Linked DNA regions of Macaca mulatta. The protein of the gene in region 2 interacts with the protein of the main gene of each other region in a pairwise test. Links are inferred from orthologs where the notes say so. Each region holds a gene or a part of one and is shown on either strand. Other genes may lie near its edges.

Region 1 (4,260 bases), about 94 Mb from region 2:
CACTGGATTGAGTCATTCACACTAGTATAAATGAGGCTCAGTCCCAAGTCTGTGATAACCGGAGGTCCCAGAGACCTTCTACAGCTGCCTCTTGTTTGTTGACCAACGAAGAGGAGGACCAGAGACTCACCCACGGCCACTCAGCCAGGCAGGACAGCACAGGACAGGAATGAAACCCAGGGCTCTCCTGGGGCAGCAGCTTCCTCCCAGAACTGGTTCATGGTGGAGCCCCAGGCTCGGTCTCTCAACAAAGGGTCTGCAGGCTGGTGACTGGAAGCCCGGGATCTGCCTTGCTTCCCCAGAGCTACCCCTCCAGAAAGCATTCTGGGGATAGAGGCTTGTCCAGGCCAGGAAGGTACAGGGCACACAGTGGGTACTCAAATCAACAGACAAGCCCCTGTGAAGGGCTGGCATCACTATCTTTATCACCACTATCATCCCGGCGGCTGAATCCCTACCTTGTGCCAGGGCCCTTCCTCAGTTATCTCTAATGTCCCCATGGAGACACTGGGGGGAGTGTGACTTCAGCCAGGGCACAGCCCAACCAGGACTCTGCTGGACTCAGCTTTCCGGGCCTCAGTGCCTGCTTTATGGAACGAGCCTGACCCTAGGATCCCTTTCACAGGCTTGCTGTATTTGATTTGAGGCTGGAGCTGGAGGGTTCAGAGTTGGCGCCCATCATGAGATACGATCCTGGGGGACTGGTGGGAGAAGGTGGGGTGTAGCAGGAGTTAGGCCTGGCGACCGGGGCCTCCGAGGCCAGGTATGGTCCAGCCCCTCCTGCTGAGGCTGATGCCACCTCTCGCTTCAAGCAGTCAAGCTGGGCTCCTGGGTGGGGCCACCCTGGCCAGGCCCCAGGGTGCAGCCTCGCCCCTTGAACATACTGTTGGGCCCCAGCAGGCCCTGAGGCCCCGAGAGATATGTGCAAGAAGCCCTGGGATGGAATCTTCCAGGGCCCAGGCGGCACCAGGACTCCCCTGGGGCTCAGCAGTCCCCAGAGGGCGGTCTGCATGGTAAGCGGAGCCAAGAGCAGCAGAGAAGCGGGGCTCCCAGCTCACCACCCCCTGGAGGAGCAGATGGGGACACAATGCTTATTAGGTGCCTGTGACCATGACTGACTTTTCACTGCTGGGGAAACTGAGGCACAATGAGGCTGGGTGACCTGTCCAGAGTCACACAGAAGGCCACTGACCCTCGAGATGCGCTTCCACCCAGAGCTGCCTGGCCCCAGCTGGCCATGCAGACCTACGGGGAAAGGGCTGGCAGGGCTTCAAATCACCAGAACTTCCCACCCACCGGCCTGTCCCTGGCCATCCCTGGACAGAGCAGTTGACCTGAGGGCCAGCAGCACACAGGTGGCAGAGGTGCAGAGGTGGAGGGCAAAGTGCCTGGGCCCAATCCGGCTCCTCCACCTCCCTCTTCCTCTGTGCACTGGGGACATAATGATGGCGCTGACCTCCTGGAGTTGCGCCCAAGCTGGGGGTCAGAAGCTGAGAACACTAGTCAACGCTCCGTGAGTATCAGTCATCGCACTCAGCCGGGGTTTGTCCCCAGAACAGAACCCCTCCCAGCAGAAAAGCCTTCCTGGGAGGCTACAGGTTGATATCCCACAAACCCAGCCCACCGCCTCTGCCTCCATCCCGTGTTGGGAGAAGGTGGAACTGGGGCACGAGCAACATCCAGGCAGCCCAGGGGTCCTCCCTGGCCCACGGGACACAGACGGTGCAGGGCATGGAAGGTCAGCACCAAGGTGGGGGTGCCAGTCCCTGAGTGAGGTCCCACCTGCCCAATGCTCTGCACAGCTCCGTCCCCAGGACAGCTAAGGAAATCTCACCACATCTTTTGTCTGTCTGTCTGAGGTCAGAGTGCATGTGTGGACGGGGTACGATGAAAGAGCTCTACAGCCCAAGCCAGGACTCCCTGTGTCACCTGGGGCAAGTGGCAGCCCCTCACAACCTCAGTTTCCAACTCCATGTAATGGGGGCAGCTATGAAAGCTCACCTCCCTGCCTGACAAGCCTGTGGGACAGCCTGCCTCATGTGGGGTTGTCTCAGGCTCAAAACTGTAAAAGGATAATCACAGGAAAGCCCGAGGTAAACCACCAAGGCTTTGCCACAGTGGGGAGAGGATTATGATAATTGTTATCATTACTGTTCACGCATGTGCATTCCATACAGAAATAGTCTGCCTGCCCCAAAGTCAGAAATTTCACCTTAGAGATTCATTCCTTTGGCAATTAAGGCCTTTCCTATTACAGATATTATAAAAGGGGTGTGGGGAGGGAACTTGGAGCAGGTCAGACAGGAACTGTGGGGAAACGGCACATGAGGAGGGAAGAGACCTCTGGGGTTGAGACTCACCCGACCTGGAGGCCTCCAAGGGGAGGCAGCTCGGCCTCCGCGCTTGCCACTGCCCAAGCAAGGCCCACTAGTTCCCACGGCCTGGCCTGGCCCCACTCTGCTTGCAGCCTCAGCGGCCGCCTCCGAAGAAGGCTGGGAGCTCAGGGCCGGGTCCTTCTCCCCTGGGGCTGCAGCTCCTGCAAGGGCCTCCTGGGCCAGGCCTTGGCCTCGATCCACTGCGGAGGGCTCTGGGCTGCGGCCTCTGGGTACCCTGAAGGCCTCCAGGGTCCCAGGGTCCAGAACCCGCACAGTGACCTCATCCAGGAACCTGGAGAAGGGCAGTCTGGCCTCCCGCCGGCGGCCCAGGCGTGCGAGGGAGCCTGTGACAGCCCGGCTGCCTGTGTTCAGGGACTCTGGGGAGGACGGCCGGACTGGCGACACCCGGGCCATCTCCTGGCTGGGCCGAGCTGCCCAGCTGGGGCAAGATGATTTGCCCTCAGGATTCCGACCTTGGCTGGGGCTTGGCATGTGGCTTCGAAGGTCCTGTCTGTGGGCTTCCTTGATGGCGGCTGCTGCCCTGGGCTCCAGGAGGGAGCTGTAGCTGCCCTGCTTGGGACAGGCAGGGTTAGAGCCCCGTACCTGGGAGCTGGCCCCTGAGAACATCCTCCTGAGTCAGTCCAAGGTCTGGGCTCCCCAAGAGCGCCGTGACCCACTCCTCTCCTCCCATGGGGCTGGGATCCCTGTGCCCTCTTAGGGGCTGTGCCTCCCGTCCTCACAGACCAGGGCAACCAGCCAGATGCCCGCCTGCCCATTGATCCAGTGGCAGGGCCTCACGGCCTCCCACCCCCAAATCGATTCTCACTAAATGGAAGCTGAGCTTCAGGGCTTAGAAAGTGCTAGAGAGGAGAAGGTCATGTCCTGGGCTCTGCCTGGGGAGGTAGCCCGCCCTGAGTGAGCTCCTGTGGTACACAGGACCCTGGACTGGGCCTCCCCCTCTCCTACTCTGACATCTCCTCTGCCAGGTGCAGTCCAGGGTGCAGGGGCACAGAGGACAGGCAGTGGACAGATGGCCACGATGGTCACCATGACAGCGTGAGCACTGGGCCTGAAGCAGGGCAAACTGGAACTGCAGCAAACCAGCAAATGGGAGGGGTCGGCAGAGGCCGCGGGCAGCCCACTGTCCTCCCGTGCATCCTTATTACAGAGCCTTCATTCTCTTTTGAGATACAGGGTAGTTAGCTAAAAGACCATCTTTCCTGGGCTCCTATGCAGCCAGGCCAGGAGGTCGCCAATGAACTATAAACAGAAGTTGGGTGTGACTGCTGGCAGAGCTCTGCGAAAAAGATCAGACAGACAACCTGTGTCCTTTTCCCATTCCCCATCCTCCTGCTGCTTCTCTAGAACATGGAAGTGATGGCTGGAGCTGTGGCAGACATTTTGCACCATGAGACAAACTTGTGGCAGAAGCCATGTATAAAAGATGGAGGAGCAGAAAGACAAAAGGAATCTGGATCTCCCATGACCACTGAATCATCACACCAGCCCTGCATCACCTGCCTCTGGTACTGTTTTTTTTTTTTTTTTGAGACGGAGTTTCATTCTTGTTGCTCAGGCTGGAGTACAATGGCTTGATCTCAGCTCACTGCAACTTCTGCCTCCCAGATTCAAGCAATTCTCCTGCCTCAGCCTCCAAAGTAGCTGAGACTACAGGTCCCTGCTACCACGCCTGGCTAATTTTTGTATTTTTAGTAGAGACAGAGTTTCACCATGTTGGTCAGGCTAGTCTCGAACTCCTGACCTCAGGTGATCCGCCTGCCTTGGCCTCCCGAAGTGCTGGGATTACAGGCATCAGCCACTGTGCCTGGCCTTCCTCTGGTAGTTCTTTAACTTGAAAGAAAAAGAACCCCTTGTCTTTAAGCTA
Region 2 (4,214 bases):
GCAAAATCCTGTCTCTACTAAAAACACCAAAAACTAGCTGGGCATGGTGGCACATGCCTGTGATCCCAGCTACTCAGGAGGTTGAGGTGGGAGAATTGCTTGAGCCCAGGAGGCAAGGGTTGCAGTGAATCGAGATCACGCCACTGCACTCCAGCCTGGATGACAGAGCGAGACCCCATCTCAAAAAAACAAGATAAATAAATAAAATAAAGGAGAGTAGCATTCTTACCCTTTGATAGCCCATTCTTCTAACTGTGCTGGGTGGCATTCCTGAAGAGGATTCTCTAAGCAGTGTCCAGGTAACCCACTCTTCCCTGAAGTCCTCAGCCACATTATCAAGGGTCATCAGTTCCTAAAGCAAGAGACCTCGATATGCATCAGTAGCTCCCTAGGTATTCTCACCATTGTCTGAAAGCCAAAAAATGGCCATCAGTGTACACAAACAACCCCCCACACCTGATCAGAATGGTCCTGAGGTAAATTCTGTCAACCACAGAGGGTTGCTTTTCTTAGTCTGTTTTTACATACATCTTCTCCTGGCCAACTTTCCCATTACTAAGAGAGGCCTAGGCCTCCCAAACACATGGACAGAACCCAGTCTTTTAGATACATTAACTTTTTGAGGAAAAAATTGTCCACGATGAACAAGGTAAACAAAGGAGAGAGTTGGTAGGTACAATTTGATTTCTGGAAAGCTTTTGATTCTCCCCAACTTCATTTTCCTCAGCAACCAAGGAAATTGTGGACTTAACTATACTCATATTAGTTATGAGAACAGCTGACTTCTTGGCTTGCAGATTTGGGGTCAACCTCAAGGGACAGATTATGCAGAACCCCAAAGAGAACTGTGTTGGATACCACTCTATTTCAAGATCTTAATGGAGTCAGAAATAAGACTGAAAAAGACATGTTTTTTTTTTTTTAAAAAAAGACATGGATAGGTTGTAAAAATAAGTGAAAGTCAATGGGGATAAGCACAAAACACAACTCTTAGAGGCTGAAACCAATCATTAATATATTAATAAATTGACAGCAATATCATGAAAAACATTACTTTTTGGAGGATAGTCAGAGTCAACTACTGGATGGATCAGTAATTTATTCAACAATCAATATGTTGCCAGGCATAGGAGTCACAAAGAAATTAAGATAATGTTTTTTCCCTTAAAAACTTTCCAATACACCAGCCTCAGCAACATATTGAGACCCCTTTCTCTACAAAGAACTTTTAAAAATCAGCCAGGCATGGTGGCATGCACTTGTGGTCCCAGCTACTCAGGAGGCTGAGGTGGGAGGATCACTTCAGCCCAGGAGTTCAAGGCTGCAGTGAGCTATGATGGCGCCACTGCACTCCATGCACTCCAGCCTAGCAACAGAGTGAGCCCCTGTCTCTCCCTTAAAAAAAAAAAAAAAAAATTCAGCCAGCATGACCACCCACTACAAAGAATATTGCATTTCACGGGAGGAAGGACCAGACTAGGGTGAAGAAGTTTTACTCTTTCACATCTTTTGTCCCACTACAAAGCACCTATTTACTACTGGAACACAGATACAGACACAGACACACACACACACACACACACACACACACTTTTGGGGAAAATATTTATGTATTTACAGACATTATTATTGGTCATTTATAAAGTATTGAGTTTTTAAGGATCTAAAAACCATTGCTCTGGTTTAAAACTTTAACAAACAACAATAATGTAATTAGAAAGTAAAAATGGTAATAACAGTTTTCAGTATTGGTCGGGCGCTGTGGCTCATGACTGTAATCCCAGCACTTTGGGAGAACGAGATGGGCAGATCACCTGGGGTCAGGAGTTCGAGATCAACCTGGCCAACATGGTGAAACCCTGTCTCTACTAAGAATACAAAATTAGCCGGGTGTGGTGGCGCACACCTGTAATCCCAACTACTCGGGAGGCTGCGGCAGGAGAATCGCTTGAACCCGGGAGGCAGAGACTACAGTGAAGGGAGATAGCACCGTTGCATTCCAGCCTGGGCAACAAGAGCGAAATCCCCTCTAAAAAAAAAAAAAAAAAAAAGTAGAAGAAGAAAAAGGAAAAAAAAAAAAGAGCTTTTAGTATAATTTTTATTTCTACATTCATTACAAAACACAGCTGCAGGGCCCCCTTGCTGGAGACTTCTTAGCCACGGTTATAGAAACCCTGTTTCCCAGCCCGTCCCTTTCCCCATGCGCAGATGACCTCAAAGGCCCTACAGCTCTGAGGGGCTGTGACTAAGTGCCATTGTGAGAATCTCCAGTGCGTTCACCGGGTTTATTAATAGGAACATGACTGCACGCGTGGGGCTGAACCCCGTTCTTCTTCTCGGTGCTGGGGCCCTAACCAGGGTGCGGCGGTCAGAGGGTGGCAGATCAGCTGAAACCCGGGGACCACCATCGAGAAGCAAGAAAACTCATTAAGAGAATGACTTATCTCGACGACGGTATAGAGACCACAGCTACCTCTCCCACACCCCAGCAAGACCCGGGGGCTCCCAAAGGCCAGCGTGGGAACCCCTCTGAGAAAACGTCTGGGTGGCGGGCGAGCCCCCTCCACGCCTCTCAGCAGCGCGCCGCTGCCGCCGCAGTCTCCCTCCTTGGATCACTCACCGCCCCAGGGCCCAGCTGGGGATGGAGCAGGAAGTGAGTCCTCCACCGCCGAGCCGCACCCGGCCCGCAACCCCGAGGCGGTCCCTCCCAGAACCCGACCGGGATTCGTGACAGGGCTGTGGGGACACAGGTGGGACTCAGGCTTCGACAGCTCGCAGCCGGAAAGTACCGCCCCTGTCCTCTTGCTATTGGCTTTTTAGTTTCCATGGCTAGAATGTTTCTCTGTCCATAGGCTGACAGAGCTATCAATTACCGCCTAGCCTTCTGGGAAACGTAGTCCCGAGCAAGACCTCAAAGGACTCGGAGCCTTGGATATCCAGTTCCAAGCGTTGAAAAGTGCTAAACCCAATTCCCCAGCTACCGGCCCCCAGGAACCGCCTGTTTGGAGCCTAGGGATCTAAATGCCGTACCCTCAGTGTGGCATCTGCTGATGTGAATCTCCTGGCCTCACCCACCTACCGCGGAGCAGCCTGGTGCCCAACGTGAGGTCTCCCGCGCTCTGGCACCTCGCCCCTCCCCAGCGCAGAGCAGCTCAGCCCTCTGGCCTTTGCAGCCTCTCTTCTGCCCAGTCTTCCACCTCACACCCGGCGGCCGGAGCCTGCAGAGTGTTTGCGGAGGCCGGGTCCCAGACCAACTCAAACTGGACATAAGGAAGGCCCAGCAGACGCCCTTAGGAGAAAACAGACATTCCGTATCCTTCCCTTGGCATCAAACTCCCAGGCGCATCCCCTTTCCGTCTGGTTGATAGCCAGAGGAGGCGGGCGAGGGCATCAAGTATTCTGGGAAATGTGATATTGGGCTTCAAACTGGGGAGGCTCCTGGGTCTCATGTGAAAGCCAGTGGTCACTTTGGGTCGGCCCCTAGCTAAAAAATAATGTCTTTCCTTAAAGTGAAGAAAATGTGCCTGTCTACTCCGTTTGTTGATTCAGTGTAATTTAGAAAAAGAAAGACCATTTTGTGATGTACTATAAAACGCTTAGAATTGCTAGCCATAGAGTTAATGTTGAAGATCCCTTTGATGCTAATTCCACCATTCCTTCAACAAAAATAGGGTGCATTTTCCAGTGGATATTTATTGGGAACATTCTATACTCAAGATCGTTCTGGGAACTGTGGTTACTCGGGAATCATACATAACCATTACCTTCATGAAGTTTACAGGCCAAAAGGGGAGATAAACCATAAAAGGTATCAAAATCCTAAGTAGGCCGGGCGCGGTGGCTCAAGCCTGTAATCCCAGCACTTTGGGAGGCCGAGACGGGCGGATCACGAGGTCAGGAGTTCGAGATCATCCTGGCTAACACGGTGAAACCCCGTCTCTACAAAAAAATACAAAAAACTAGCCGGGCGAGGTGGCGGGCGCCTGTAGTCCCGGCTACTCGGGAGGCTGAGGCAGGAGAATGGCGTAAAAACCCGGGAGGCAGAGCTTGCAGTGAGCTGAGATCCGGCCACTGCACTCCAGCCTGGGCGACACAGTGAGACTCCGTCTCAAAAAAAAAAAAAAAAAATCCTAAGTAATATTTTGTCTTTTTTTTTTTCATATAGCCAGTTGCATCTTAGTTATTTTGCTACAATTGTAGTCATCTGCAAGATA

What was found.
Region 1: the proteins of ZNF774 (region 2) and BEGAIN interact in binary tests that used the Homo sapiens proteins (3 or more experiments, as listed by UniProt). The two-hybrid records come from large-scale screens. The link is inferred for Macaca mulatta from reciprocal best matches to the Homo sapiens genes ZNF774 and BEGAIN.

The regions. Positions count from the first base shown.
Region 1 is NC_133412.1:173,917,146-173,921,405, forward strand, and holds the start of BEGAIN (brain-enriched guanylate kinase-associated protein), read right to left. Parts: upstream 2,801-4,260; 5' UTR 2,790-2,800; coding exon 2,361-2,789; intron 1-2,360. UniProt on the Homo sapiens protein: May sustain the structure of the postsynaptic density (PSD).
Region 2 is NC_133412.1:80,237,168-80,241,381, reverse strand, and holds the start of ZNF774 (zinc finger protein 774), read right to left. Parts: upstream 2,801-4,214; 5' UTR 2,621-2,800; intron 353-2,620; 5' UTR 334-352; coding exon 230-333; intron 1-229.